Linked DNA regions of Macaca fascicularis. Each later gene encodes a partner of the first gene's protein in a complex. Links are inferred from orthologs where the notes say so. Each region holds a gene or a part of one and is shown on either strand. Other genes may lie near its edges. The genes, in order: NUP85, NUP160, NUP107, NUP214, E3 SUMO-protein ligase RanBP2, NUP153 and CETN3.

What was found.
Region 2: NUP85 (region 1) and NUP160 share a complex: the UniProt entries of both Homo sapiens proteins name them as parts of the nuclear pore complex. The link is inferred for Macaca fascicularis from reciprocal best matches to the Homo sapiens genes NUP85 and NUP160.
Region 3: NUP85 (region 1) and NUP107 share a complex: the UniProt entries of both Homo sapiens proteins name them as parts of the nuclear pore complex. The link is inferred for Macaca fascicularis from reciprocal best matches to the Homo sapiens genes NUP85 and NUP107.
Region 4: NUP85 (region 1) and NUP214 share a complex: the UniProt entries of both Homo sapiens proteins name them as parts of the nuclear pore complex. The link is inferred for Macaca fascicularis from reciprocal best matches to the Homo sapiens genes NUP85 and NUP214.
Region 5: NUP85 (region 1) and E3 SUMO-protein ligase RanBP2 share a complex: the UniProt entries of both Homo sapiens proteins name them as parts of the nuclear pore complex. The link is inferred for Macaca fascicularis from reciprocal best matches to the Homo sapiens genes NUP85 and RANBP2.
Region 6: NUP85 (region 1) and NUP153 share a complex: the UniProt entries of both Homo sapiens proteins name them as parts of the nuclear pore complex. The link is inferred for Macaca fascicularis from reciprocal best matches to the Homo sapiens genes NUP85 and NUP153.
Region 7: NUP85 (region 1) and CETN3 share a complex: the UniProt entries of both Homo sapiens proteins name them as parts of the nuclear pore complex. The link is inferred for Macaca fascicularis from reciprocal best matches to the Homo sapiens genes NUP85 and CETN3.

The regions. Positions count from the first base shown.
Region 1 is NC_088390.1:81,592,305-81,596,487, reverse strand, and holds the start of NUP85 (nuclear pore complex protein Nup85), read right to left. Parts: upstream 2,801-4,183; 5' UTR 2,725-2,800; coding exon 2,692-2,724; intron 69-2,691; coding exon 1-68. UniProt on the Homo sapiens protein: Essential component of the nuclear pore complex (NPC) that seems to be required for NPC assembly and maintenance. As part of the NPC Nup107-160 subcomplex plays a role in RNA export and in tethering NUP96/Nup98 and NUP153 to the nucleus.
Region 2 is NC_088388.1:18,015,863-18,019,362, reverse strand, and holds part of NUP160 (nuclear pore complex protein Nup160), read right to left. Parts: intron 1,735-3,500; coding exon 1,651-1,734; intron 1,359-1,650; coding exon 1,188-1,358; intron 1-1,187. UniProt on the Homo sapiens protein: Functions as a component of the nuclear pore complex (NPC). Involved in poly(A)+ RNA transport.
Region 3 is NC_088385.1:75,480,293-75,483,792, reverse strand, and holds part of NUP107 (nuclear pore complex protein Nup107), read right to left. Parts: intron 2,704-3,500; coding exon 2,613-2,703; intron 2,467-2,612; coding exon 2,390-2,466; intron 943-2,389; coding exon 883-942; intron 214-882; coding exon 68-213; intron 1-67. UniProt on the Homo sapiens protein: Plays a role in the nuclear pore complex (NPC) assembly and/or maintenance. Required for the assembly of peripheral proteins into the NPC. May anchor NUP62 to the NPC. Involved in nephrogenesis.
Region 4 is NC_088389.1:12,731,381-12,735,597, forward strand, and holds the start of NUP214 (nuclear pore complex protein Nup214), read right to left. Parts: upstream 2,801-4,217; 5' UTR 2,682-2,800; coding exon 2,637-2,681; intron 1,073-2,636; exon of another isoform or gene 971-1,072; intron 540-970; coding exon 344-539; intron 1-343. UniProt on the Homo sapiens protein: Part of the nuclear pore complex. Has a critical role in nucleocytoplasmic transport.
Region 5 is NC_088387.1:16,208,322-16,212,392, reverse strand, and holds the start of E3 SUMO-protein ligase RanBP2, read right to left. Parts: upstream 2,801-4,071; 5' UTR 2,712-2,800; coding exon 2,640-2,711; intron 1-2,639. UniProt on the Homo sapiens protein: E3 SUMO-protein ligase which facilitates SUMO1 and SUMO2 conjugation by UBE2I. Involved in transport factor (Ran-GTP, karyopherin)-mediated protein import via the F-G repeat-containing domain which acts as a docking site for substrates.
Region 6 is NC_088378.1:155,186,264-155,190,488, reverse strand, and holds the start of NUP153 (nuclear pore complex protein Nup153), read right to left. Parts: upstream 2,801-4,225; 5' UTR 2,266-2,800; coding exon 2,155-2,265; intron 1-2,154. UniProt on the Homo sapiens protein: Component of the nuclear pore complex (NPC), a complex required for the trafficking across the nuclear envelope. Functions as a scaffolding element in the nuclear phase of the NPC essential for normal nucleocytoplasmic transport of proteins and mRNAs.
Region 7 is NC_088380.1:94,405,614-94,409,682, forward strand, and holds the start of CETN3 (centrin-3), read right to left. Parts: upstream 2,801-4,069; 5' UTR 2,675-2,800; coding exon 2,658-2,674; intron 835-2,657; coding exon 699-834; intron 1-698. UniProt on the Homo sapiens protein: Plays a fundamental role in microtubule-organizing center structure and function. As a component of the TREX-2 complex, involved in the export of mRNAs to the cytoplasm through the nuclear pores.

The DNA.
Region 1 (4,183 bases):
ACTAGCATCTCCCCTGGACCCCAGTCAAAACACATTTGGTTCTTCTTGGAATTCACACCTGGAATCACCTAGTAAAATAAGACATAGAAATCTAAAATGAAGAATGTTCTTCTTACTGAAGTCGTTCTATTCTTTTTTTTTTTTTTTTTTTTTTTGAGACAACGACTCACTCTGTCTCCCAGCCTGGTGTACAGTGGCACAATCTCAGCTCACTCCAATCTCCGCCTCCTGGGTTCAAGGTCTTCTACTGCCTCAACCTCCTGAGTAGCTGGGACTATAGATGTGTGCAACCGTACCCGGCTTTTTTTTTTTTTTTTCATTTTTAGTAGAAACGGAGTTTCACCATATTGCCCAGGCTGGTTACAAACTCCCGAGCTCAGGTGATCCACCCGCCTCAGCCTCCCAAAGTGCTAGGACTACAGGCGTGAGCCACCGTGCCCGCCTGGCTGAAAAACACTTTCCACCATGCCAGCCTGGCTGAAAAACACTTTAAGTGAAGAGCACAGCTGGTCCTGTAATAACATTGTATCCTTCAATAACATTTTCTTATAACACTAGTAAGAAAAATTCATTTTGTGCTGGGCACAGTGGCTCCCACCTGTAATCCCAGCACTTTGGGAGGCTGAGGCGGGCAGATCATCTGAGGTCAGGAGTTCGAACTCTTTTTTTTTTTTTTTTTTTTTTTTTGAGACGGAGTCTCGCTCTGTCGCCCAGGCTGGAGTGCAGTGGCCAGATCTCAGCTCACTGCAAGCTCCGCCTCCCGGGTTCCCGCCATTCTCCTGCCTCAGCCTCCCGAGTAGCTGGGACCACAGGCGCCGCCACCTCGCCCGGCTAATTTTTTGTGTTTTTAGTAGAGACGGGGTTTCACCGTGTTAGCCAGGATGGTCTCGATCTCCTGACCTTGTGATCCGCCCGTCTTGGCCTCCCAAAGTGCTGGGATTACAGGCTTGAGCCACCGCGCCCGGCCAGGAGTTCGAACTCTTGTTGCCCAGGCTGGAGTGCAGTGACGCGATCTCACGATCTCCGCTCACTGCAACCTCTGCCTCCTGTGTTCAAGCGATTCTCCTGCCTCAGCTTCTTGAGTAGGTGGGATTACAGGCATGCGCCACCACGCTAGGTTAATTTTTGTACTTTTTTTAGTAGAGACGGGGTTTCGCCATGTTGGCCAGGCTGGCCTCGAACTCCTAGCCAGGTGTGGTGGCTCACGCCTGTAATCCCAACACTTTGGGAGGCTGAGGTAGGCGGATCACGAGGTCAGGAGTTCAAGACCAGCCTGACCAAGATGGTGAAACCCCATCTCTACCAAAAATATAAAAATTAGCTGGGTGTGGTGGCACGCACCTGTAATCTCAGCTACTCAGGAGGGTGAGGTAGAAGAATCGCTTGAACCTGGGAGCCAGAGGTTGCAGTGAGCTGAGATGGCGCCACTGCACTCCACCCTTGGTGACAAAGTGAGACTCCGTCTCAAAAAAAGAAAGAGGCCAGCCGCAGTGGCTCACACTTGTAATCCCAGCACTTTGGGAGGCCGAGGTGGGCAAATCACGAGGTCAGGAGATCCAGACCATCCTGGCTAACACGGTGAAATCCCGTCTCTACTAAAAATACAAAACAAAATTAGCCGGGCGTGGTGGTGGGCGCCTGTAGTCCCAACTACTGGGGGAGGCTGAGGCAGGAGAATGGTGTGAACCCAGGAGGCCGAGCTTGCAGTGAGCCCAGAGGGGCGCCACTGCACTCCAGCCTGGGCAACAGAGCGAGATTCCGTCTCAGAAAAAAAAAAAAAAAGAAATGAAACCATCCCTCTACCTACCCTGAGATAAATGCATACATAAATTTTTCCTCTACTCCCTCTTTTCACAGGTAAAATGCAGATTTACTGAGGCTAATCAGAGACTCACAAGAATGTAACCATTTGCCTCCTCACTGCCTAACCTCCCTTTTTTGCCCCTCCTGCTAGTTCCTTCCTCTTTAACTACTGATGTTCCCAAAACCATCTCTGGAAAAAGCACAAGTCTCAGATCCTCCTGGGACCTGTGTTTTTTCCCGGTTGGATCCTCAACCTTAGCTAAATAAACCTTTATCGGTTGAGACCTGCCTCAGTCAGCGGTTAACAAGAGAAAGAGGGAAAACAAAAGCATTCCAAGTAGCAGAAACGGTAGGTATGTCGCACATAAAGTCCATGAATTTTTTTTATACACATCACAGATCATCCACAGTTGACATACTCTCTTCAAAGTTCAAATGGAATTGAATGCACAGCGATAAAATATGAATAGTCTCCTGAGATAATACGTTTAATAAACCTTAGGTCACACAAGCAGAAACTCAACGTGCCGCGATGCAGAGCTTAATATGGCTGGAAGAAAAACATAAATTCCTCTGCTTGGGCTGAACCCACTCTAATACCCAAGAGGAAATGCGAGGGAAGTAGAAAGGTCAGCAAGACAAAAGAAGGAAAGGGACGGACTGGGACCTTCGAGGCCTGGCTTTGTGACTGGTGGCAGAAACCCCGCGACCACTACGACCCGAGGTCGGGCACCTAGTTAACACTGCGACCTCCGGAAAGTGGCAACTGAATCAAGGGAAGGGGACGAGAGCCTCGCGGCCAGTAGGGAAGCAGACAAGCCTGAAGTAACGAAGCAGACGCAGTTCTCAACCCACAAGGGCGATCAAGCCTGTTCGGGGTGCCCTTACAGTGACTGCTGGCTCGCCATCGAGCTCCTCCATAGCGCCGAACCCCAGGCTCTGGGAAGTCGCCGGGACGTCAATGCTTCCGGCTCAGGCCTCCCGCTCAGAGCTGCCTGAGAGACAGGACCCCGCCTGGGCGCCTCCTGCAGCGCCTGCAAGCCCAAACCTTCAGTGCTGCGGCGCTCTCTTCCCTCAGCCACGGCCACCCCTCTGCGGTCCTCTGCGCGCGTCCTTCCTTCCTGGCGTCGACAGCAAGTCAGGGAAAACAGCGCCGAGGACGGACTGCACTCACAGTACCGCGCTAACGGGATCAGGCGGCGCCGCGGACACCCTGGTGCCGAGCGGAGAGAAGGCCCCCGGAGAGGGCGGGCGGGGCAGGAGGAACCCTTGGCCAGAGACGGTGCGACTGCGCGTGCGTAGGCTGGGGCGGCGGCACCTGGGTGGGAACTTGTGCCGGACTGAGGTCCCAGTAAACCTGCAAGCTTTCCCAACTCTGGGAGTCCTCGCTCCATCCTTATCTCCACCTTAGTGTCGTAGCAGCCACTTGTCCAAACCCAAACAGTCAAATGGGCTTGTGCTGGAAAGCAGTCGCCGTCACTCCCACACTAGAACACACACAAGAGGCACGGGAGGCCGGGCGCGGTGGCTCACGCCTGTAATCCCAGCACTTTGGAAGGCTGAGGCGGGCGGATCACAAGGTCAGGAGATCGAGACCATGGTGAAACCCCGTCTCTACTAAAAATATAAAAAATTAGCCGGGCGCAGTGGCGGGCGCCTGTAGTCCCAGCTACTCGGGAGGCTGAGGCCGGAGAATGGCGTGAACCCGGGAGGCGGAGCTTGCAGTGAGCCGAGATTGTGCCACTGCACTCCAGCCTGGGCGACAGAGCGAGACTCCGTCTCAAAAAAAAAAAAAAAAAAAAAGAGGCACGGGGACAAAATCGATGCTCCTGAAGGATTAGAGGCTTCTCAAGCCTCTAATCCCAGCACTTCGGCAGCCCGAGATGGGCGGATCACTGGAGGTCAGGTGTTCAAGACCAGCCTGGCCAATATGATGAAACCTCGTCACTACTAAAAATATTTTAAAAATTAGCCGGGCTTGGGCAGGGTGCGGTGCCTCACGCCTGTAATCCCCAAACTTTGGGAAGCCGAGGCGGGTGGATCACAAGTTCAGGAGTTCGAGACCAGCGTGGCCAATATGGGGAAACCCCCATCTCTACTAAACATACAAAATTTAGGCCGGGCGCGGTGGCTCACGCCTGTAATCCCAGCACTTTGGGAGGTCGAGGTGGGTGGATCACCTGAGGTTGGGAGTTCGAGATCAGCCTGACCAACAGGGAGAAACCCTATCTCCACTAAAATTACAAAATTAGCTGGGCGTGGTGGCGGACACCTGAGGCAAGAGAATCGTTTGAACCCAGGAGGCAGAGGTTGCAGTCGGCCGAGATCGTGCCACTGCACTCAAGTCTGGGTGACCAAAAAAAAAAAAAGAAAAATTAGC
Region 2 (3,500 bases), on another chromosome or scaffold:
ATCCTGGGCTTTTGGAGGCCAAGACGGGCGGATCACCTGAGGCCAGGAGTTTGAGACCAGCCTGGCCAACATGGCGAAACTCCATCTCCACTAAAAATACAAAATTAGCCAGGCGTGGTGGCGCATGCCTGTAATCCCAGATACTCTGGAGGCTAGGCAGGAGAATCGCCTGAACTCAGGAGGCGGAGGTTGCAGTAAGCAGAGATTGCACCACTGGACTCTAGTCTGGGAGACAGAGAAGACTCCTCTCAAAAACAAAAAAAAAATTGGATTCTGGATCAGGAAAAAAAATTATGGGCACAATTGGCAAAATCTGAATATAAACTATATATATTATATTTGGCAAAATTTGAATATAAACTGTATAATATTATGTCAATATCAAATAATCTGATTTTTAAATTGGGCTGTGGTTATTTAATATCCGTGTTCTTAGATACATGCTGAAATATTTAAGGATATTTAAGGATAAAGGAGCGTGATATCTACAACTAACTTTTCAGCAGTTCAGGAAAAACTATGTTTAGAGAAAGAAGAAAAGCAAATGGAAGTTAACAAATGATGAATCCAGGTGAAGTGCATACAGGAATTCTTTGTGTTACTCTTGCAACTCCTACCTTAAGTTGGAAATTACTTCAATACAAAAAGTAAACAGGCCAGGTGTGGTGGCTCACACCTGTAATCCCAACACTTTGGGAGGCCGAGGCAGGTGAATCACCTAAGGTCAGGAGTTCAAGACCAGCCTGACCAATATGGTGAAACCTCGTCTCTACTAAAAATACAAAAATTAGTTGGGCATGATGGCGTGCACCTGTAGTCCCAGCTACTCAGGAGGCTGAGACAGGAGAAGTGCTTGAACCCCGGTTGCAGAGGTTGCAGTGAGCTGAGATCATGCCACTGCACTCCAGCCTGGGTGACACAGCAAGACTCCAACTCAAAAAAAAAAAAGAAAATAAATACAATAAAATACAAAAAAAGTACAGATAATAACACAGAAAACTATTTAAATGAATGAATCACAATTTTAGGGGAAAAAATACAAATGCAAAGTCGTAAAGGCTAACCGCAACATTCGGCAGACTAACACTGGGCAAGACCCACTGAACTTTTTGTTTTCTGAAGGCATTTTATTACAACAGCCACTGAACTGTCTCAAGAAGGTCTTCTCCATGCCTCAGTTCGCTTACTTTTTTCAGCAGGCACACCATGTTTGTGTGTGGATTCAAATGTAGGGCAAGAGGATGAGAGAGGGCTTCTTGATACTGAAGACAACAGGCATAGAACTTGCACCAGAATTCTTGTTGTAAATTTCGAAACTCCTCCTGGGAGAATTCATACTCTGTTACACTTCCTTGAAGCTGGCAAAGAAGAAATGAAAGAAATTAAACTTTTGATGCCATTTAGGATCTTTGTCCACAAAAAGTGTAATTGTCCAATATCATTATACTAAGCTACAGCCAAATGAATATTCCTTACGTATAAAAGGCCATAGAATACGCAAATGCATATCTGATTCTCTAGTTAAAAGGTTTAAAACATTTGTACTTCCAACGAACAAGGTCAAGTGAAGAATTCCAATAATTCCTCAGTGCCAATCTGCTCTATATCAAGATGGAAGGAATTCTTACTCTTTCTCTACCCAAACCTCACCTCATTTTCAACAGCTAAAGTAACTTCCTTCTTCAGTTCACTCCAGGAAAGATCCAAATTCCTCTCAGTTCCTCGGCAGAAAATCTAACATTAAAAGACATTTTAGACTTCTATATAATAGCCAAAACTGAATGAAAAATATTTCAGTTTAGAAGACATGGAGGCAATGTAAAACTATATAATAGAGATCTGGCATACGTGGAACACACATCACCTGAGAGAAAGTTAAGAAACTGCGCGTATTTAGTCTGGAGAAAGATGACCTGGAAAGATTCTTAAAACACCTGAAAGGTTGATTTATAGAAGAGAGGCTTCCTTTTCAATGATACACTTTGGGAATAATAACTCCCACAAGAGGTAGTGAGACAGTGGTCAGTGGAGGTAGAGACAATTAAAGGCTGAATTAACTATCACAAAAGCCTCAGAAGGCATTTCTGTTTTATGTGGGAGGTCAGACTAGAAGATTCTAATATAACTTTCAATTATATGAGTTATTGTATTTTAAATCCATCCATGAAGCTAAGTAGTAATGTAAAGAAGCCTATGCAGGCTGGGTGCAGTGGCTTATGCCTGTCATCCCAGCCCTTTGGGAGGCCAAGGCGGGTGGATCATCTGAGGCCAGGAGTTTGAGACAAGCCTGGCCAATATGACGAAACCTTGTATCTACTAAAAACTACAAAAATTAGTGGGGTGTGGTGGCATGTGTCTGTAGTCCCAGCTACTCGAGAGGCTGAGGCAGGAAAATCACTTGAACCCAAGAGGTGGAGGTTGCAGTGAACCAAGATCGTGCCACTATACTCCAGCCTGGGCAACAGAGCAAGACTCTGCCTCAAAGAAAAAAAAAAAAGTCTATATAACTTTTTTGTTGTTTTAAAAGAGATGGGAATCTTGCCATGTTACCCAGGCTGGTCTTGAACTCCTGAGCTCAAGCAAATCACCCCCTTGGCCTTCCAAAGTGCTGAGATTACAGGTATGAGCCACTGCATCTGGCCAGAAGCCTGCGTAACCTTAAAAAACCCTTTCTGTTTTTTTTTTCTTAAAGACAGGGTCTCACTCTGTTTCCCAGGCTGGAATGCAGTGGCATGATCAAGGCTCACCGTACCCTCTACTTCCTGGGCTAAAGCTGTCCTCCAACCTAGGGCTCCTGAGTAGCTGGGACCACTGGTGCATACCACCTGGCTATTTTTCTTTTTTCTTCAGAGATGGGGTCTCCCTCTGTTGCCCAGGCTGCTCTCAAACTCCTGGGCTCAAGTGATCTTCCTGCTTCAGTCTCCCAAGGTTTTGGGATTATAGGTGTGAGTCACCACTGTTGGCCAAAGAATCTTTTTGTAAAGCACTGGGCTTCTCTTATACTATGAATTTGAAGCTAAAAGCCTTTATCTTTTTTTTTTTTGAGACGGAGTCTCACTCTGCCACCAGGCTGGAGTGTAGTGGTGCAATCTCGGCTCACTGCAACCTCTGCCTCCTGGGTTCAAGAGATTCTCCTGCTTCAGCCTCCTGAGTAGCTGGGACTACAGGCACGCGCCACCACGCCCGGCTAATTTTTGTATTTTTAGTAGAGATGGGGTTTCACCATGTTAGCCAGGATGGTCTTGATCTCTTGACCTCGTGATCCACCTGCCTCGGCCTCCCAAAGTGCTGGGATTACAGGCGTGAGCCACCACGCCCGGCCAAGAGTTTCTTGAATTTGAACCAAGTCAGACCTTCACTGTCCTAATAAAAAGGTTAGAACAGTATAACCAAAACTAAACAAAAAAGCACTTTAAGTATGCAGTGTAGTATGGTATCTTTTTACAATACTGTAGGTAGAGGTTTCTCTTTTTAACTCCAGCATGTGTCATGCTGGGATT
Region 3 (3,500 bases), on another chromosome or scaffold:
CTGTAAAATGAAACATCAAAGAGCATGCTACAAATCACCATGACTCAAAACAATCCAACAAACTCACTTTGCTTCCAGATATTCTCTAGGGAGTTCTTCAGTTTCATCCAGAGTTACTACTGATGTCTGGATCTCCTGTTCTACCAGACTGTCCACCATCACCCGGAAGTAGGCCCAAACTGTGTCTTCCCAGGTGTCACAGACAGGAAGCAGCTTTTTCCCCATTACAAAACAGAAACATATAGACATTCAACAGAAAAGAAAGGAAAATCAATTACATCCAATGATACAGACTATAAAATCACTTTATAATGATATAAAACATGGCGGATTTAAAAAAAAATTATGCCAAATAAGCTTTCCCCTGCCAACTACATCTTGTAAGATGTTTGAACTGTTCAGATTTTTTCATACTGTTAACAACAACATGTTTTCCAGGCTCATATGACATTTCAACTGATTAGTGTAGTATCCCTAAAGATAGCTATAATATGTAGGGAGTATTGGGTTGTGAGAAAAACATGCGTATGTAAGATAACCCAAGGACTCACTGTGCCTTTCTGGCACATTTCTGCATACAGCTATGAGTATTTTAAGTCATCAATAAATGTGTGTTGGAGTTAAGTTTACAATTCTTAGTTAAAAACTGAAATCTGATTTCATTCATTAAAACACCATGTATGTTATGGGATACATCAAATTAAGCACAACGAGTCACTATCTGATTCATGATTATCTCTATCATTGCTACACTTAAGTATGTACATACATACTTAAGTATATACACTTAAGTTTATATTTGTTATATACAATTGTTAGAATATTTCATCTATTTAATTTTATTCCACAGAAAAAATTTAAACATTAAAACAGATTGCATACCTGCTTAAGATTCCCACTTAAAGCTGCATAAATTGCTCTCTCGTATCTATTAAAAAGCTCCTAAAACACAATGAACATAAACAAATTTGAAATACTGTTTTTCTTAGTATGTCAATTTTCCTCATAATGTGGAGTCTTGCAATCTCTTCTAGACTGAACCTATTCACCTGATAGTTTTTAAACTTTAGTGAAAGATCTAGTGGGGTAATAACAAGGAAGAACTTCAGTGTGATGAAATAATCAATGCTGAGATCTGGAGAAAAAAAGTAAAACATTTAAATGCCAAATATCGGGTGAAAGCAAATCCAACTCTAGTGGATGCTTTGAATATTTAAAATCAAATTTTATTCCAGAAACAACCTATATATTATTTTCTCCTAGAATGTTTCTCAATACCTGATACTCTCTGATATTGACCTGATACTCTCTGATACTGACCTATGTACAACATCAAAACAAGGCATGCATTAGTTTGCATCTAATTTCTATGTAGAACTAATTCCCCATTTTACTTTTGGTATTTCCAGTTTTCTTATCATCCAAACAAGAGACTTCAGAGACTCTTACTGCATAACTGAGTCCACCTCTGCCTTCTGTTTCTAATCACTGCTCCTAACCAGTGTCCCTTCCTTCCTTTCCATTCCCATCAATACTATCCTAGGTCAGACCCTTATGACTTAGTGTCCAAATAATTCTGACAGGCTCCTAACTACTTTCTCAGCCTTTTGTCCATCTAATTTTAAGTATATTTTTCCATTGCCAGGCTGATCTTCTCAAAAACACTTCTGCTATCTGCGCTAAAGCTTCTACCACCCTGACAGCCAATTCCACAAGCAAACTTTGGGCCTTTTTCAAGGTAAAGTGCCATATTTATTGTAGTATTTATGTATTTTTTAAACTGTTTGACAGATGTAAAACTGTGCTACCATTTTTATTAACTTTTTATTATTTTACGTATCACTAATGAAGTTTTTGAGTATTTTTCTCTTAACTCCATTTTCCTGTTAAGTCCTATGGGGTTTTCGTACAATGCTGCACATTGTGGTGACTTTGAATACCTATGTCATGTTACAACAGAACTGACAGTATTTCCTTTATGAGCATTCTACTCCAACCTGGTAGACCTACCTTACTTTGAGTTTCCCAATCTATGTATCCTACCTAGAATTCCTTCCTCTTGTTTTTCATTCCCCAAAACGCAAATCCTACTAAGTTTTAAAAGTTCAATTCAATTCTTTCCTTAGGGAAGCCAGCTTTAAGCTTTAGTCCAATACTTTTTCTCTAAATTCATTTGGTACCTCCTTTACATTTCTGCCTTATATCAATGCTTAATTCTTAGTACATAGTGTTTTAATAATTCTGATAAGTTGTTCAGCCTATTCCTCAATTTAATTGGAAGTTCTTTGAAAACCAGTTTTACACTACTTTCAACGTTTCATAGCCCCTGAATAGGCTTTCAATTAATTGGAGTTAAAAACAGTATCACTGAATATTTTATTTATCTTACATCTTCTGCCATTCTCCAGCAACTTATTTTCCAAATGCGTCTATATGGATTCCCTTCAACAGGTTCTAATTCTGTTCCTATAAAACAGTAAAAGAAAATTTCTGGTTTAAAATGAAACCTTATTACAATCCTTTCTAAAAAGAGAAGCTATAGTTCACAAAGATTGGCATTTAGAGCGAAATGCCTTTGTCCTCAACTGTCAATATAAAATCTACTAAAATACCTCCATTAACATTAGGGTCATGGTACAGTTTCCAGCCTTCAAGTGTTGCAGCTCTCCATGCTTGACCACAGCGTTTACAGAGTCGTTGTGCCTTAAGAAACAAGAAAAAGCAGTCAGTACAATAACCAAGTATAACCAATATATGACAAGTTTAGATAACTTATGGAACAAATGTTACAAGGGATGGATGTAGGCAGTTAATAATGGCATTCTGGCTGGGTGCGGTGGCTCACGCCTGTAATCCCAACACTTTGGGAGGCCAAGGCAAGTGCATCACCTGAGGTCAGGAGTTCCAGGTCAGCCTGGCCAACATGGTGAAACCCCATCTCTACTGAAAATAGAAAAACTAGCCCGGCGTAGTGGCAGGCACCTGTAATCCCAGCTACTTGGGAGGCTGAGGCAGGAGCATCACTTGAACCCAGGAGGCAGAGGTTGCAGTGAGCCAAGATTGCGCCACTGCACTCCAGCCTGGGTGACAGAGTGAGACCCTGTCTCAAAAAAAAAAAATAAATTAAATAAATAAATAAATAATAAATAATGGTATTCTATTTTTAAAACATATGTATGTCTTTCTGTGGCTTCTGCCTTTATTTTTCTTTCTTTTTAAAAATTTTTTGCAGAGACAGAGTCTCATTATATTGCCCAGGCTGGTCTCGAACTTCTGGACTGAAGGGATCCCCCCCACCTCAACCTCCCAACGTGTTGGGATTACAGGTGTGAGCCACCATACCTGGCCCTGTTTTTATTTCTAAAAAATCCCTTTTCTATTTGACTTTAGGCTTAACAATAGGTTCCCACGGCACCCACTGGCATTTAATTCTGCTAGAAACAAATGGGGTTAAAGAGGTTGATGACCTCTGATTTATGAAAAACTACTACAAAAACAGT
Region 4 (4,217 bases), on another chromosome or scaffold:
ACATTGCCAATAGTTTGGATCGTACTGTTGTGCCAACTGAAAACCCATGCCAATAAAACCCTTCACCCAGAGAGCCAGAGCCCAAGTTCAACTGGGCAAGAATAAAAGTATGGCATAATGGTTAAGTTCTTCCCTCTTGAGCTGAGAAGAACAACTCATGTAAGGAAAAGTACAAAGGACCAAGGAGAAAACCTAGAAAGGCTTCCATTAATCTTCTTGGGAGTCAACCTTCAAACTGACAGCAGTGTTCATTTTAGTATTAGAATGACTTCTTGGGAAGGAAACACAAGAGCATGCCACCACACTCCTCTCTCTACTTTGCAACATAAACCACGGAACTTACCTATTTTATTGGGATCATCTCCGGGTTTATTTTGAATAAGAAGATTTTTAGTAGGAAAAATCTGCAAGCCACTGGCCCCACCAGCAAAGACCAGACCATATTTGTTGGACACAGCAAGCAGACTCGAGCGTTCCTTGGGCAATTCCTCAGGGGAGTCAAAGATTCTCACCTTCTTTAGCGCCCTAAACTGAAAATCCTGTTGTGAAGAATCAAAACAAGATCAATTCAATAAATAAAGAAATTAAAACAAGTTATATTCAGTAGACCCAATTTCAGTACAACAAAAATATATATTACTGAGAACACGGTCTGTCTCAGTTGTCTTTTTTTCTTTTTTGAGACGGAGTCTCGCTTTGTCGCCCAGGCTGGAGTGCAGTGGGCGATCTTGCTTCACTGTAACCTCTGCCTTCCAGGTTCAAGCAATTCTCCTGCCTCAGCCTCCCAAGTAGCTGGGACTACAGACGCCCACCACCATGCCCGGCTAATTTTTGTATTTTTAGTAGAGACAGGGTTTCATTATGTTGGCCAGGCTGGTCTCGAACTCCGGACCTCAAGTCACCCATCCGCCTCAGCCTCCCAAAGTGCAGGCTCACAGGCGTGAGCCACTCCGCTCGGCCTTCAATGTTTTCTGACATGGAACACTTCACGAATTTGTGTGTCATCCATGTAAAGGGGCCATGCTAGTCTTCTCTGCATGATCCCAATTTTATATGTGCTGCCAAAGGGAGTCTGAGATTACCATCTTCTAAGTCTGTGATTCTATTAATAAACCCTTTTTTTCTTCTACCCCAGTATATCTGAGGAATATGACACAATCCCATTAGGTGGCTCACCACAGGTGGTGATTCTCAAAAAATAATCACTATTCTAGGCCGACACGGTGGCTCACACCTGTAATCCCAGCACTTTGGGAGCCAGAGGAGGGCAGATCACTTGAGGTCAGGAGTTTGAGACCAGCCTGGCCAACATGGTGAAACCCCATCTCTACCAAAGAATATAAAAAATTAGTCAGGCATGGTGGCAGGTGCCTGTAATCCCAGTTACTCGGGAGGCTGAGGCAGGCGAATCGCTTGAGCTGGGGAGGTGGAGGTTGCAGCGAGCCGAGATCATGCCACTGCACTCCAGCCTGGGTGACAGAGCGAGACTATGTCTTAAAAAAAAAAAAAAAAAAAAAGGCCGGGCGCGGTGGCTCAAGCCTGTAATCCCAGCACTTTGGGAGGCCGAGACGGGCGGATCACGAGGTCAGGAGATCGAGACCATCCTGGCTAACACGGTGAAACCCCGTCTCTACTAAAAAATACAAAAAATTAGCCGGGCGCGGTGGCGGGCGCCTGTAGTCCCAGCTACTCGGGAGGCTGAGGCAGGAGAATGGCGTGAACCCAGGAGGCGGAGCTTGCAGTGAGCTGAGATCCGGCCACTGCACTCCAGCCCGGGCGACAGAGCGAGACTCTGTCTCAAAAAAAAAAAAAAAAAAAAAAAAAAAAAAATCACTATTCTAAACAGGGTATGTATTACTATGCCCTACATGCATGTTAGTGATTTACTGTTCACACAGATGACTAAAATCTTCCTGCATCTTACTTCCTTTCACTATTTAAAACAGATGTAGGCCGTTTGCTGCACCCTCATTCTGTCAGAACACATATAAGAACTATTAAACACACCATCCTGAAGTTATCCCTGGGGGACTCCCACGTTGCCATCACTGGAAACACTTAGCCCTCCCTTTAGGTTCCTGGTTTGAGGCTGATACACCGATATCAAAACAGTCTTCCTAGTTCAGTCAACTAAAGGTTCTGCAGGATGGATGACCTCCCCTGACTCTACGTTAGGCAAGCCCGTACCGCCTTACAGAAATACTGGCAGAGCGAAGGTCTTAAATGATGCTGGCTTTCAGCCCCGCTGTCAAATGTGACTTTAGGGAAATCACTTTCCGAGCCTCGACTCACTCCTCTACGTTAATAACCACTTCGTAGGGCTGCTGCGATGACTACACAGCGACTGGCACACAGTCAACGCTCCATACACAGCAGTTATTGCCACTATTGTGACCGCCACATGAAACTAGCTAGGGTAACTCAAGAGACGTGCACGAGACCAGGATGGGACTGGGAAACTGCATTCGGTGGGGCTATCACGCCAGCGGCGCGGCAGACGCGCAGCTGAGAGCGGTGAACGCGGTAGTCTGTTCAAGCAGGAGACGGGACAGCCGGCACCGCGCTTCGCCTTTCAGCTGGGCTCCAAGGCAACGCCAGGACTAAAGAAGGGAGGGAGGCCCCAGTTAGTCTCTGACCTTCATCTCCCGCTCGGGAATCATGGCATCCATCTCGTCTCCCATCGCGCCGCCCTCGGTGTGTCGAAGCAGCCAACGCTGCCTCCCACGGCCTTGCCCACAGAACCTAGGCCGCTGGACTGCAAACTTCCTTCCCTCAGCGCCAGGGGCGCGCAGTTGATCTCGCATTTCCGGCGCGCGTTGGTGACGTCAAGCTTGGCCGGGGAGGCAGCGGAACCTAAAGAAGCCGCGCGTTCTCCCGGCCGCCGCTCCCCATTGGCCAACTCGTGCTGAATAGGGGCGTGGCCGTGGGGCCCCGGCGCCTGCGCCCTGGATCGTCCTGGTGCCGCTCCCGCCTTCGCAGACAGCGCGGGTTCGCTTAGTGTCAATCTGTCTTCTTGGGTGGCCCACGTCTAAGCGACCTATGCTCCTTGTTCCTCTGACACCTTACAGTTCCTCTTAGATGTAGGTTGGCTATTAGTAGCTTCCGATTCAGATAAGTTAGGAACTTGACAGATGTTTTCGGTGGGCTACTTTAGAGAGAGGCTTTGGGCTATGCAAGGGGAGGAAGGGAGGTTCAGAAAAACGGGGTCGGGGGATCGCCAGTGTGGAAGGTGGAAGGCTGGAAGGGGAGATTAAAGGGCACGGAAGACCAGCTTTGTTTGCTCTTATCAAGGTGATCATTTCCAGAGCAAGAGCCATATGCATCTCTAGTTGCACGAGTTTGTGCCACGTCCTTTGCAAAAACCTTCAGATGTGGGATCTCATGTAATCTTGAAGACTTCTAGTCATCCTAGGGGTTATTATTTAATTGATGAGGTAGGCCAGGCGCCGGTGGCTCACGCCTATAATCCCAGCACTTGGGAGGCCGAGACAGGAGGATTGCTTGAGCCCAGGAGTTTGAGACCAGCCTGGGCAACATGGCGAGACCCCGTCTCTACAAAAAACAACAAAACAAAACCACAAAAATTAACCAGCAGTGATGGCATGCGCATGTAGTCTCAGCACACTCAGGAGGCTGAGATGGGAGAATTGCTTGAGCCCAGGAGGTCGAGGCTGCAGTAAGCTGTGATTGTACCACTGCACTCCAGCCTGGGTAACAGAGCCACACCCTGCCTCAAAAAATAAAAATGGGCTGGGCGCGGTGGCTCACACCTGTACGCAGCACTTTGGGAGGTTGAGGTAGGTGGAACACCTGTCAGGAGCTGGAGACCAGCCTGGCAAACATGGTGAAACCCCACCTCTGCTAAAAATACAATTAGCCGGGCGTGGTGGTGGACGCCTGTGGTCCCAGCTACACAGGAGGCTGAGGTAGGAGAATGGCATGAACCCGAGAGGTGGAGGTTGCAGTGAGCTAAGATTGCGCCACTGCACTCCAGCCTGGGTGACAGAGTGAGACCGTCTCAGGAAAAAAAAAAAAAAAAAAAAAAAAGATATATATGTGTATATATACACATCCACATACATAATAATAATTGTTGAGGTAAGGGAAGCACAGGGGAAGTTGAGAAATTTCTCCGGTGGCCCTCAGTCAGAAAGTGGTAGTGACAGGATAAGAACTGAGATTGTCTGGATAAGGCTGACTGATGATATTACAGTCCT
Region 5 (4,071 bases), on another chromosome or scaffold:
AATGACTTTCAATTTGTTTGGGGGAAAAAAAATATTCTTTAAGTGTAAAGAGAGAAGTGGTCATAACAATGAATCCTCAAAATTTTGCCACCACTCCACTTTATTTAATGGAAAAGTTATGTAGTTGAAAGAACATTCTAACTTCTGTCTAGACCAGTGGTTTTTAATCTTTTGGAAGCCAAGGTCCCCCCTAAGAATCTCAGAAAGGCTCTAAGCTTGCTTTTTTTTTTTTTTAAGCTTGTTTAAAAAAAAAAAAAAAAAAACAGGCTGAGCAGAGTGGCTCACACCTGTAATCTCAGCACCTGGGGCCAAGGCGGGAGGATCACTCGAGCCCAGGAGTTGGAGACCAGCCTGGGTAACATAGTAAGACCCCGTCTCTACATTAAAGAAAAAAGTTAGCCGGGCATGGTGGTGCATGCCTGTAGCTGGCATGCCTGTAGTCTCAGCTACCCAGGAGGCTAAGGTGGGAGAATGGATTGAGTCCAGGACGTCAACGCTACAGTGAGCCATGATCCCGCCACAGCACTCCAGCCTGGGAGATAGAAAGAGACCTTGTCTCAAAAATAAAATAATGGATGTTGCAGTGGCTCACGCCTGGAATCCCAACACTTTGGGAGGTGGAGGCAGGGAAATCACTTGAGCCCAGGAGTTCGAGAACAGCCTGGGCAACATGGTGAAATCCAGTCTCTACCAAAAATACAAAACAAAACAAAAAAAAAACAAGCCGGTGTGGTGGGTGCACCTGTGGTACCAACTACTCGGGAGACTGAGGTGGGAGGACCGCTTGAGCTGGGGAGGCGCAAGTTGCAGTGAGTCGAGATAGCGCCACTGCATCCAGCTGGGTGACAAGAGTGAGTGAGACCCCACCTCAAAAAAAAAAAACCATAAAAATTAAAGTCTTTAATTTCAGGAGTTACTGGAACCCTCAATAAGGTCTGTTTTAGACTCTATCACCACGTTCATATTTATGACTACGCCAGCAGTTTGAAATTACAATGTACAAGTAGGTATCTATTCCTCCTCTCTGGAGGAACAGGCTGTAACTTACTCCACTGTTCCCAAGAGAAACTAAATCAGAACCACTGCCAAAATTCTGCTGCACTTCCTATTTGACCCTGAACAGGTATCTTTAATCTCTACAGGTCTCAATATCCACAGGGCTGCTGGAAGCACAAAATAAGATAACCTACACTTAGTTATGATAAAAGACACAATTGTGCTGCTATTATAATCATGGTCATCCGTGAGTTTCCGTTTGTTTTTTTGGTTTTTTTGTTTTTAATTTTTATTTTTGATGGAGTCTCCCTCTGTCGCCCAAGCTGGAGAGCAGTGGCACGATATCGGCTCACTGGAACCTCCGCCTGCCAGGTTCAAGCGACTCTCCTGCCTCAGCCTCCGGAGTACCTGGGACTACGAGCGTGCGCCACCACGCCCGGCTTTTTTTTTTTTTTTTTTTTTTGGATTTTTAGTAGAGACGGTGTTTCAACATGTTAGCCAGGTTGGTCTCGAACTCCTGACCTCAGGCAATCCGCCCTCCTTGGACTCCCAAAGTGGTGGGATTACAGGCGTGAGCCACCGGGCCCCGCCAATATCCTTTTAACATCAACAATAAAAACAGTGACTTGTAGCTAACATTCAGTGCTATGTATCAAGCACAACCCTAAATGTTTAAAATGGATCCTATCAAATTCTATCAATGTTACAACTCCACCTATGGATGGAAAGTGCAACTGGCCCCAAATACCCAGCTTATGAACGACAGGGCTGATTATTCAAGCCAAAGCAAACTGACTCAACATTCTGTGCACATCCACCTTTAATAGCTTCTTCCGTCACTCTTTAGATCCAATTGCTAAAGTCTTACTGAATCCAAAACAGATCACATTATTTACCTATAAAGAGGAAAAATATCCTAAGAACATTTGTGGAAAAGGTTAAAAATTGTAAGCCATACTAACGATTTATAAGAAATTTATAATTTTTTTTTTTAAAGCAAAAGCACCTACCAAACTGTTCTGGGGGTGGGGGAGGTGAGTATGAGGAGTGGAGCTGGACCCTTATAAAGGGACAGCGACAAACATCTCATACTCAAAACAAGGGGACTTCGCGTGTCATTTGCGCCGTCGGGCCGTTGCAAACGTTCGCGCTGAGATCCCTACGTTGTCACTCGTCACAGCCGCCAAAGCGCACCCGGGAGCTGCGTCAGTCCCCACTGGGTTCCCCCAGGCCAAGGAGGTACGACCTCCGCCGCAACACGTAAAATGTCCGGGGGATGGGAAGAATCCCGCCGACATAGCACCCGGGTGCCCAAGCCCCCCGAGAACTAGGCCGCGCGGGTACTACGCGGCGCGCGACCGGCCAGAAAGCCCGGGCCAGGGCGGGCCCACGAGCGAGGACCGTCGGGAACAGGCCGGGAGAAAGAGGAAGCGCCGGCGCCAACGGTCTCCCGCCCACAGCGGTCCCCCCAGGGCTCTCCCTGCGCTTGCCAGCGCCACGCCGCCCACAGGACCGCGCTAGCCGGCCGGCGCCTCAACAGTGCGCGCCAGGGAGCAGCGCCCGTCGGGAGCCATGACGCCCGAGCCTCGCGAGGCCGCCGCCCGGCCAGGTCGAAGCCGTCGGTCTCTTCGAGATCCACTCACCTCTCGAGGCGACGGGGCGGAGCCCTGCACCGAGGCGATGTACCGCTCCACGTCGGCCTTGCTGCGCCTCATCGCGCCGCCAACCTGGCTCCCGAGGCGCGGGAGACCAGCGCTCAGCCCCGCAGCAGTCGCAACTTCCAAGAGGAAAGCGCCTGCAAACCAGTGACGCAGCGACGTCGCCGGCGGAGGACCATCCCGACGAACTTGCGTACTGCGTCAGCACTGTGCGCCACGTTGGCGACGTCGGCGCTAGAGCTGCACACAGCCGGGCTCTTGGTAGCTCCCTGGGTTCTGAGCGGTGTCTTGGGAAGCCGGGATCAGATTTCGGCCCCCGCGTCCACAGCGTGGGGGTAGATTTCCAGCAGATAACAATTTGCGTGATGGGCTCTTAAGCGTTTTGGTCGCTTGTTCTAAATTATAAGTGCGCCACGCATTGGAAGAAAAAAGCACTCAGGCCAAGTTGGTGAGCGTGTAAATTGGAACAACGTTTCTGGAGATGACTGGTTAAATACGTTGCATCGGACGTGTGAATACTAAAGTATACATTTTAAAATTCGTATTTATTAAAAGAAATGAGGGCCGGGCGTGGTGACTCACGCCTGTAATCCCAGCACTTTGGGAGGCCGAGGCGGCCGGATCATGAGGTCAGGAAATCGAGACCATCCTGGTTAACCCAGTGAAACCCCATCTCTACTAAAAATACAAAAAAAAAAAAAAAAAAAAAAATCAGCGGGACGGGGTCGCACGCACCTGTAGTCCCAGCTACTCGGGAGGCTGAGGCTGGAGAATCGCTTGAACCTGGGAAGCGGAGGTTGCAGTGAGCAGAGATTGCGCCACTGCCCTCCGCTTGGGCGACAAAGCAAGACTCCGTCTGAATTTAAAAAAAAAAAAAAAATTGGCTGGGCGCGGTGGCTCAAGCCTGTAATCCCAGCACTTTGGGAGGCCGAGATGGGCGGATCACGAGGTCAGGAGATCGAGACCATCCTGGCTAACACGGTGAAACCCCGTCTCTACTAAGAAATACAAAAACTAGCCGGGCGAGGTGGCAGCGCTTGTAGTCCCAGCTACTCGGGAGGCTGAGGCCGGAGAATGGCGTGAACCCGGGAGGCGGAGCTTGCAGTGAGCTGAGATCCGGCCACTGCACTCCAGCCTGGGCTACAGAGCGAGACTCCGTCTCAAAAAAAAAAAAAAAAATTTAGAATTGCATAATGAAAAAGTAGGCCACAAATACTAAGTTTTGGACAATTACAATTTTTTAAAGTCATCCCTTGGCGGGGGATTGGTTCCAGAACCACCGGTTTATGCCAAAACCCACGCATTCCGCTGGGCGCGGTGGCTCACGCCTGTAATCCCAGCACTTTGGGAGGCTGAGGCAGGCGGATCACCTGAGATCAGGAGTTCGAGACCAGCCTGGCCAACATGGCGAAAGCCC
Region 6 (4,225 bases), on another chromosome or scaffold:
TGTTTTCTTTTTTAATTAAATAGCCAGAGCAAGAAGCAAAAGTATTTTAGATAAGGGGCAATGATAAACTATCAAGATTTAAAACAAAACTACACAGCCTGAAGCCATATCAACTCTAAGACACCTTGGATCATAGGTATTATGCTGTTAAGGCATCGTCTCCCCAAAATTAGATTTTTATTTTATCTAAGTACATTTCAAAATAAGCTGTGATAACTTCAGACATTTGGAAAATATTAATTCCCTTCTAACCTCTATCCAGACCATCCAATGACCTATATTTAAAACACGTCATTTTTCTATACATGTCATACAAGAAAATCTAAGCACTCAAAGGCATTCATAGGAGAAAAGAAAGCATGCATGTCTAACTTCCATTCTATAGAAGGATTAGGTTAAATGGCCAGGCTTGTGACCTGAATTCTAATCTTAAATCTGCTTGCAAATACCCCTGTTCTTCACAAATTTGAAAACTAAGTACTTTACATATATATCTCGGGGAAAATTGGTAGAAGTAATAACAATGCCAAACCTAACCATCAGTAGAGAACGACTTAAAATACCTGAGCCACGATTTTCACTACTCAAACATTTCCCTCAAAATAAAAAACATTTAAGAAAACTTAAAAAAAAAAGTCCTCAAATCTTTACCTTCCCCCCCGCCCCGCCCCAGACGGAGTCTGGCTCTGTCGCCCAGGCTGGAGTGCAGTGGCGCGATCTCGGCTCACTGCAAGCTCCGCCTCCAGGGTTCACGCTACTCTCCTGCCTCAGCCTCCCGAGTAGCTGGGACTACAGGCACCCGCCACCACGCCCGGCTAATTTTTTTATATTTTTAGTACAGACGGGGTTTCACCGTGTTAGCCAGGATAGTCTCCATCTCCTGACCTCGTGATCCCCCCGCCTTGGCCTCCTTAAGTGCTGGGATTGCAGGCGTGAGCCAAGGCGCCCGACCCATACTTTTACAAATCTGTTGATAATGACACAATTTAACAACATCAACCATGTGAAAGTGTGTAATATTTATTAGCATCCAGAATAAAGTAATCTAGGAAGTCTACCTTTAACAGTAGGCAACAAGTTATCAGATCCTTTTGCTACACTTTTGTTTTTCAACAAATTTAAAACACACACTTCCCACCTCAGTATCATTGATAAATTTTTAAGTGGCTTTATTAAAATAAGTTAACATTTTCCTATTCAATCCTTCTAACAACCAATTATTTTAAAAATGGAATTTTCTCAGAATCAACTACCTCATTTACAATTACGATAATCTTTTTTTATAATTTTAAACATCCACGAATTCATACACTGGCTAAACTATAAGATCACCAACATTCCTGGAGCGTCAAAAGTAACTAAACTTCTAGAATACGCCTCATAATATTAAAATATTTTGTGTATGAGATCAGAGCTGGAGTCCTGGTCAACTGTGGAGAATGGCCAATTCCAGCCTCCAAAATAAAAGCGGGGGTGGGGGGGGGAGTCGCGCAGCAGAGAAAAGACGTAAGGGTGGAGAGGGACTTTCAAAATGCCCCAGTGCCACGGTTAACTATAACCCGGTTAAGAAAACCTAAGCCAATGCTCTCAAGACGAGGAGGAACACCGGCAGGGGAAACCGAGAATTAATTCATAGGCTGAGACTAAGTTATTCCACTTTCCATGTAACAGCGCCCCCCACAACTCCCCGTCTGCCCCAGAGTTAAGATTCCTCGGGGCAGCCCACTCCCCACACACACACTAAAGGAGGGACACCAGAAAACAACAAGGGCAATCAACCACAACTTTTCCTTTCTCCCTCGAGAGGACGTGAGTAATACCCTCAAACTCCAAATCCCCGCCAAAAAAGAAAGAAACGCGCGCATCCTGGGCCTACAATTTCTTTTCCCGCCCAGAGCCTGCCTGGGAAAACCCCTGACCCAGAGGGTTGGGGGAAAGGCGGCCCAAACCACACGTGTGCGCCGCAAGGCTGGGCCTGTCTCAGCCCACTTCCCGTCGCCACCCCCAACGGCCTGAGCTCCCCCGAAGCCTCACTCGGGCCTTTCCTCAGGCCCTCCTGTCTGCTCCACGTGGGGCGCCGGGGCCTCGAACCGCCCGTCCCCTCCAGCCGAGTTTCCCCACCCGCCAGGCCACCGCGGCGTCGGGGTCCCATACCTGATGCTGTTGTCGCCCCTGCTGGTAAGGCTTAATTGGCCCCTGGTGGCAACGCCGCGTCCGGATCTTGCCGCCACCGCCCCCTCCGACTCCTCCGGCTCCCGAGGCCATGGCGGAGCCTCCGCCGCTTCCCGCTCCGGGGCGGGTAAGGGGGCGGGAGAGGCAGAGGCGGAGGCCTTAGAGCGCCCCCCCCGCCGCCCGGCCCCGGCCCAAAAGTCCGCCCGAGCTGTCCACACAGTGGGCACAAGCACCCCAGGAACCGCGAGGTTGCGAGCAGGAGCGGAGAGAGGGTGAGTGCTGGCAGCGGGGAAGGGGGTGGCGGCCGCAGAGGCCGAGGAGGCTCCGGTCCCGCCGCCTCTGCGGACCCCCGCCTCTGTGTATGTCACGGTCTCTATGGAGATCTCCCGCAGAGGACAGCACGAACAGCTCCCGGCGGTGCTGAGGCCTAACTCGACCGCCGACTGGTGGGGATTCTTCCGTCGCCCTAGCCTTAGCTGCCGCAGTTGAAGCCGCTGGCGCCGCCCGCCTACCCCTCCCCTGTGCGCACAGCGCCCGCCCCGCCGTCGTCGTCGTCCCTGCAGCCTCCGCCGCCGTTGCGCCTATTACCGCGGCTAAGGCGGCTGCCGCGGTCGCGAGCCAGAATGTCGTCACTCACAGGCGCCCGACGCATTTGCATCATCATGCTACGACGAGCTGGTAGGCAAAGAGGAAGGACTGATGGAGTCCACTCTCTCGGCCGCGCGGCACGCTGGGAAACGTAGTTCAACAACGGAACGCGGATTCTCGGAAAGGGAGAGGGACGGGGAAGGAGATCCCCGGAGCGCCGCAGAGGCACAAAGCCAAGGGGTACTTTTGCCGTTCTTGGTTGTAAATTAGACTCTGAAAAGGCACTTAACATAAAAACAGTAACTTCTTCCCACTCTCCTTCTCCCTGTCGGTTGGTTAAGTGGGCAGGAAGTAAGCAGATAGTAAAATCAAAGAGCTAATGATTTAAGAAGGAGGAAAAAAATCTGTGGTTGAAAAACAATGTCCATGGTCCTTAGAATTAGAAAATATATACGACTTCATTAATGTTTATTTAAACATATAAAGGCTTTGTTGCCAGACACACGGGGCTGGAATTCTGGTTCCGCCACCCAACCTATTTGACCTTGGATGAATCAAAACCGTCTGAGCCTTAGCTTCCTCCTCCATAAAATGGGAGTTTTATAAAGCTGTTGTGAGAGGCAGACGTGATCATCTATGGAGAGCATGTATATTTACTAATAGGCGAAAAATGCAATGAATGATTACAATTTTAACCCATACAGTCAGCTAACATTAGAGGTAAGTGATAGATACATCCTTACTAATAAAAGTATACCGTATTTGCTCCAAATAGAAGGCATTGTATTTAGGAAACTGAGTAAGTGAACTAGACTCAAAGACTGAATCCACAAAATATATATTCTAGGAGTTGACGATTAGAAAGGCCCTGGTGATCACATAGTCCAACCCTCTCATTCAACCAACCAGACAAGAGGTCCAGAGAAATTTAGGTGGCACAATCAATGACACTGAGATGGGTAATCAAAGCCAGGACTATAACCCAACTTTTCTGTAAGAGTTAAAGACAAATAGCCAAATGATTAGGGAGGAAAAATCTATTGTGAAAAATCTTAGACTTACTATAAAGCTTATTTTTTCTTTCTTTCTTTCTTTTTTTTTTTTGAGAGACAGTCTTGCCCTGTAGCCCAGGCTGGAATGCGGTGGTGCAACCTTGGCCCACTGCAACCTCTGCCTCCCAGGTTCAAGTGATTCTCCTGCCTCGGCTACCTAAACAGCTAGGACTACAGGTGTGCACCACCACGCCCAGCTAATTTGTGTATTTTTAGTAGAGATGGAGTTTCGCCATGTTGGCCAGGCTGGTCTCGAACTGCTGACCTCAAGTGATCCACCCACCTTGGCCTCCCAAAGTGCTGGGATTACCGGTGTGAGCCACCACTCCCAGTCAATTTACTGTAAATCTGCCACTTACTAGCTGTGTAACCTTTGGGAAGTTACTGATCCTGTTTCTTTCTTTCTTTTTTTT
Region 7 (4,069 bases), on another chromosome or scaffold:
AAGAAATTACAAAAATTAAAACTATCAAATAAACACTTACATTCACCTATCCATTAAGGCTATTAAAAATCTCAAAATACTATCTTTCCCACTGTGCTGAAAGTAAGTCCCACTCAACCCTAAACCCAAATCTCTCCTTATACCCTGACAAATAATAATTTACAAATCCCTCTCTACACCTTGACATTCTAGGTCTTAAAGTTGACATTTTTACCTACTAGCATGTGTCAACATCAAACAGCACTGAAGTTGTCTGTACCACAGAAAGTGGATTGAGACTATGTTACTAACAAATACAAATTATAAGATTAAAAGACAACAATCCCACAATCTGAAAACAGTATGAGTCACCAAGAAACAAAAACAAAAACAAAAAAAACAGTGAAAAGAATATGGTAATAGTTTAAATTCCAGTTTGAAATCCTTTAATTATGTCAGTGAAAAATAAGCACCTTCCCTAGGAATGTATTGTTACATTTAAAATGCTATTCGTTTTATCACGTGAAAAAGATTTTCTAAAAACTGTGTTAGGAGTTCTATTCAGTATTATTATAGAATCTAACTATGAATGCTTAAAATGCCTTCATAGTTCCAAAACCAATTTAGTTAAAATAATTACTTAGAAATGTAATGTAAAGCAACTGTCAAAATGCAAATCATTTTAACACAGAAACAAGTATTTTAAAGTATACCATTACCTTTAATTCATGATAATCTATTGCTTCATCTTTGTCTGTATCAAATAGTTCAAAAGCATCTTTAATTTCTTGTTTCTGTTCCTCAGACAGTTCTCTTCTTTTTTTCCTCTTTGTTTTGTCTACTACAAGCTCACTTCTATGAAATGGAAAGAAAAAGCCCTTAGTCCACTTTAATTCTCTTTACTAACAGAAATTAGCCAATAATTATTTTCTAAATTTCAAAAAAGAAAGTACTTTGGAGAAAGACAGGGAAACTTTCCCTTTATGAGTCAATGCCCTGTTTATTCCATAGTCTAAATTGCTATAAATATGAACTTCCCAAAACTAAAGAGTGTTACAGATTATTAAAAGAAATGAGGACCAAACTTTTCCTTTTCCCAGCTTTTTATTTATTCCCACTTTCCCTAACTTTTTATTTATTCAAGAACTGTGAATAAGCAACATTACGTTTATGTCTGAAACTCCAACCAACTCCAACCAAAAAAAAAACAAAAACACTCACATTATTCTACAAGAATGTTAAAGAAACCAAAAAATCTCCAAATGAAACCAAAATTCGTAACTGACAATCACCATATATCGGTTTACTTTTGATAGTTCTGATAATTAAGTTCATAAAATTACTACAAAAAATACAACTGGATTAACTTATATTTTGGGACTGTTGGTTCAAAATGTTTTTAGATTACACGTTTCTAACAGTTTGGCAATTTATGTGTCATTTCCTCCACTGATATTAACAAATCACCCAAAATATTAATGAGTCTAAACATATGACAAATATTAGATGTCAAAAAAGTATACAATATTTGTGCTTCATAAGTCTTATCTCACTTAAGATGTAAACTGGAGGTTAAACTTCTCATAAACTCTGGAAACGCTTAAAGAAAAAAGCAAAAATTACTTTAAAGCCAGAAATGTTTTCCGTAAGAGCTGCCCATCTAAATGTGCTCCAAGTTTTCCAATGGAGCCGCAACACTGGTATAAGAACAAGTTTTGAAACACACAATCTGGTAACACATTAACATGTCAAAACCAGTTGACTGTATTTAAAACACGTATCTAGCTGCATTTGAAAGTCGTTTTGGTCTCTGAACGCTACAAAAAAAAAAAAAAAAAGGCTAGGAAGTGACCAGTAGATGCAGTATGACAAAGCTGAGGAAGATCTTCCTTTCATGAGACCTGACTTGACACAAACTTGGGTATTCCTGGGGTCAGTCTTTTCCTTCCTGAGACTTTTAGAGGCCAAGTCCAGAACCGACCCACCCCTGACCCCATCCAAGGGTACCATGATTATCCCTTAGCAGAACATGGAACATTTTTAGAGTGTCCTAAGTATATGTATAGTTTTACGGTACAACGTCTACGTAGGGGGAGCGGGTAACAGACAGAGGGTTAGAGGTTAGAACTGAAAGGTAAAGAAATGAAAGAAACAGGAAATCCAAGAGACAGTTTGCCAATTAGTCACTAAAATGGGTTTCTAATTACACCGTAAAGCAGGACCTTGGGAGAATAGCAAAGAGTTTTTTGTTATTTCCAAAATTTATAGGTGGATGATTGCATCAGCAGCAGAGCAGCGGAGGTGGGGCCCTGGCCAGGCATACGAATTGAATGAAGGGATGTTCCGCGGCCTGATCTCTCAGAGCAACAGAGTAGAAGCCTCGCGATATTTCATTCCCTCCCCCTCGCTCGCAACTAAGCCCATTTTTTTGGTAGTCCAAAGCCCTACGCGCTGACAGAAATAACCTCCTTAGTAGAAATGCACTGGAAGTCTCGTTCCCTGCAGGGCACCAGAGCCCAGAGGGTGAGTGATCCAGACAGGCTGCCCTAGGCTCCTTTCCCGCATCCCAAACAGCATCCCCTGCCTCGCCACGGCCCCAAACGGCCTCCCTTCCACACACACCCTCCCTAGGTCCCGCTCCGGGGTGTGGAGAGCACTGCCGCCTCCTTATTACCGACCTCAGAGCTAAACTCATTATCTCTTCGGATAGAGTCGTTCCTCTCAAGAAACGATTTTAACCCCCTACCCAAAGCAGCAAGACTCCCACAACCGTTCAACAGACACGAACGACCTCAGCGGCCTCAGGGACCTCCCACAACATAGACACTTTTGAGCTGGATTGGTTGAAATGTCGCTATGGTTCTGCCCATTATGGCGGAAGCTTTACCAATTTTATTTTCATTGGGTACGCTTTACGTCAATCAAGAAAAAAAAAAAACCTCTCTCTCCCCGCCCCCCCCCCCCCCCGCCACCCACCCCGCCCCTCCATTCCTAGGGCCGCTCTCGCCCTTCGGATTGGCCTGATGCCTTTTTCCCCGAATCCTTTGCGGGTCCGGCCTCCGATCCCTGTGTGGTGGTTTGCGTGGTGGGTGCTCCTAGTCTCTCGCGTATTGTCCTGCGGTCTGTGGGCCGACGTTCGAAAACTAGATGGATAACTTGGACGGTGGGAAGGGAAGGGACACGCTGCAGGCCACCCTCCGGCTAGAAGGAGGCAGTAGTTGAGGAACAAGGTCTGCGAAGCGTGGCTGTGCTCTGTTCTAAAACTTTGGATGGCTTCAGTACCTGGGGAATGTGTTTAAAATGCAGACTTAAATGCCCCTTTCTCCATTCTAATTTCAGTAGGTATGAATCTGCGTTTGTATTCCTCACAAGCCTTCCAAGTGATTCTGAGGCAGGTGCTGTGACTATACTTGGATTATCACAGGGTTAGATTATCAGGCTATTTATGGTGATGCTGTATCTAAACCGCCCTTCCCTCTCCTTTTCCTCCTTTGAACTGTTTGAAACGGATTTGTTGGCTTCTGTCTCTTATTTTACGGTGCTGTAAATTGTTAATACACGTGAGACTGTATTCACTACCAAACCAAGTCTCCTAAAGCTCACTTGAATGTCTACTTATTCGTCTCCCTTACCAGGTTCAATTTCTTGAAGGCCGTGATTATATCTATTTAACGCTTTTCCTTGTACCTAATAAAATGTCTGGTGCATAGGTGCTCGGTAAATTGAGTGGAATCTTTTGAAAACCCACAAAATACTGAGCTAAACAGCAAATCTCATAAACGGGAATAAAATAGCCTGAGAATGGGAGTTGAAGGCGGAGAATATGTAAACATATGTTTAAGGGATGTATATAAAATTTTAGAGAAGGGAGAGAGCACAAGATAGGCTTCCTAAAGAGGTGGCATAAACGTTAGACCTACAAGGATGGGCTAAATTTGCACAAGTAAAGATAGTATGATAGAACAAGCTAAAAATTAGCTAAGGGATAGCACCCCTAAAAAACAAAAGCGGAACTTTTATTTTGTTCGTATTTTAAATTTTAAAGTACCTTTATAAATCACCTTTGAGTCTAAAAGGAAAGAGAAATTGT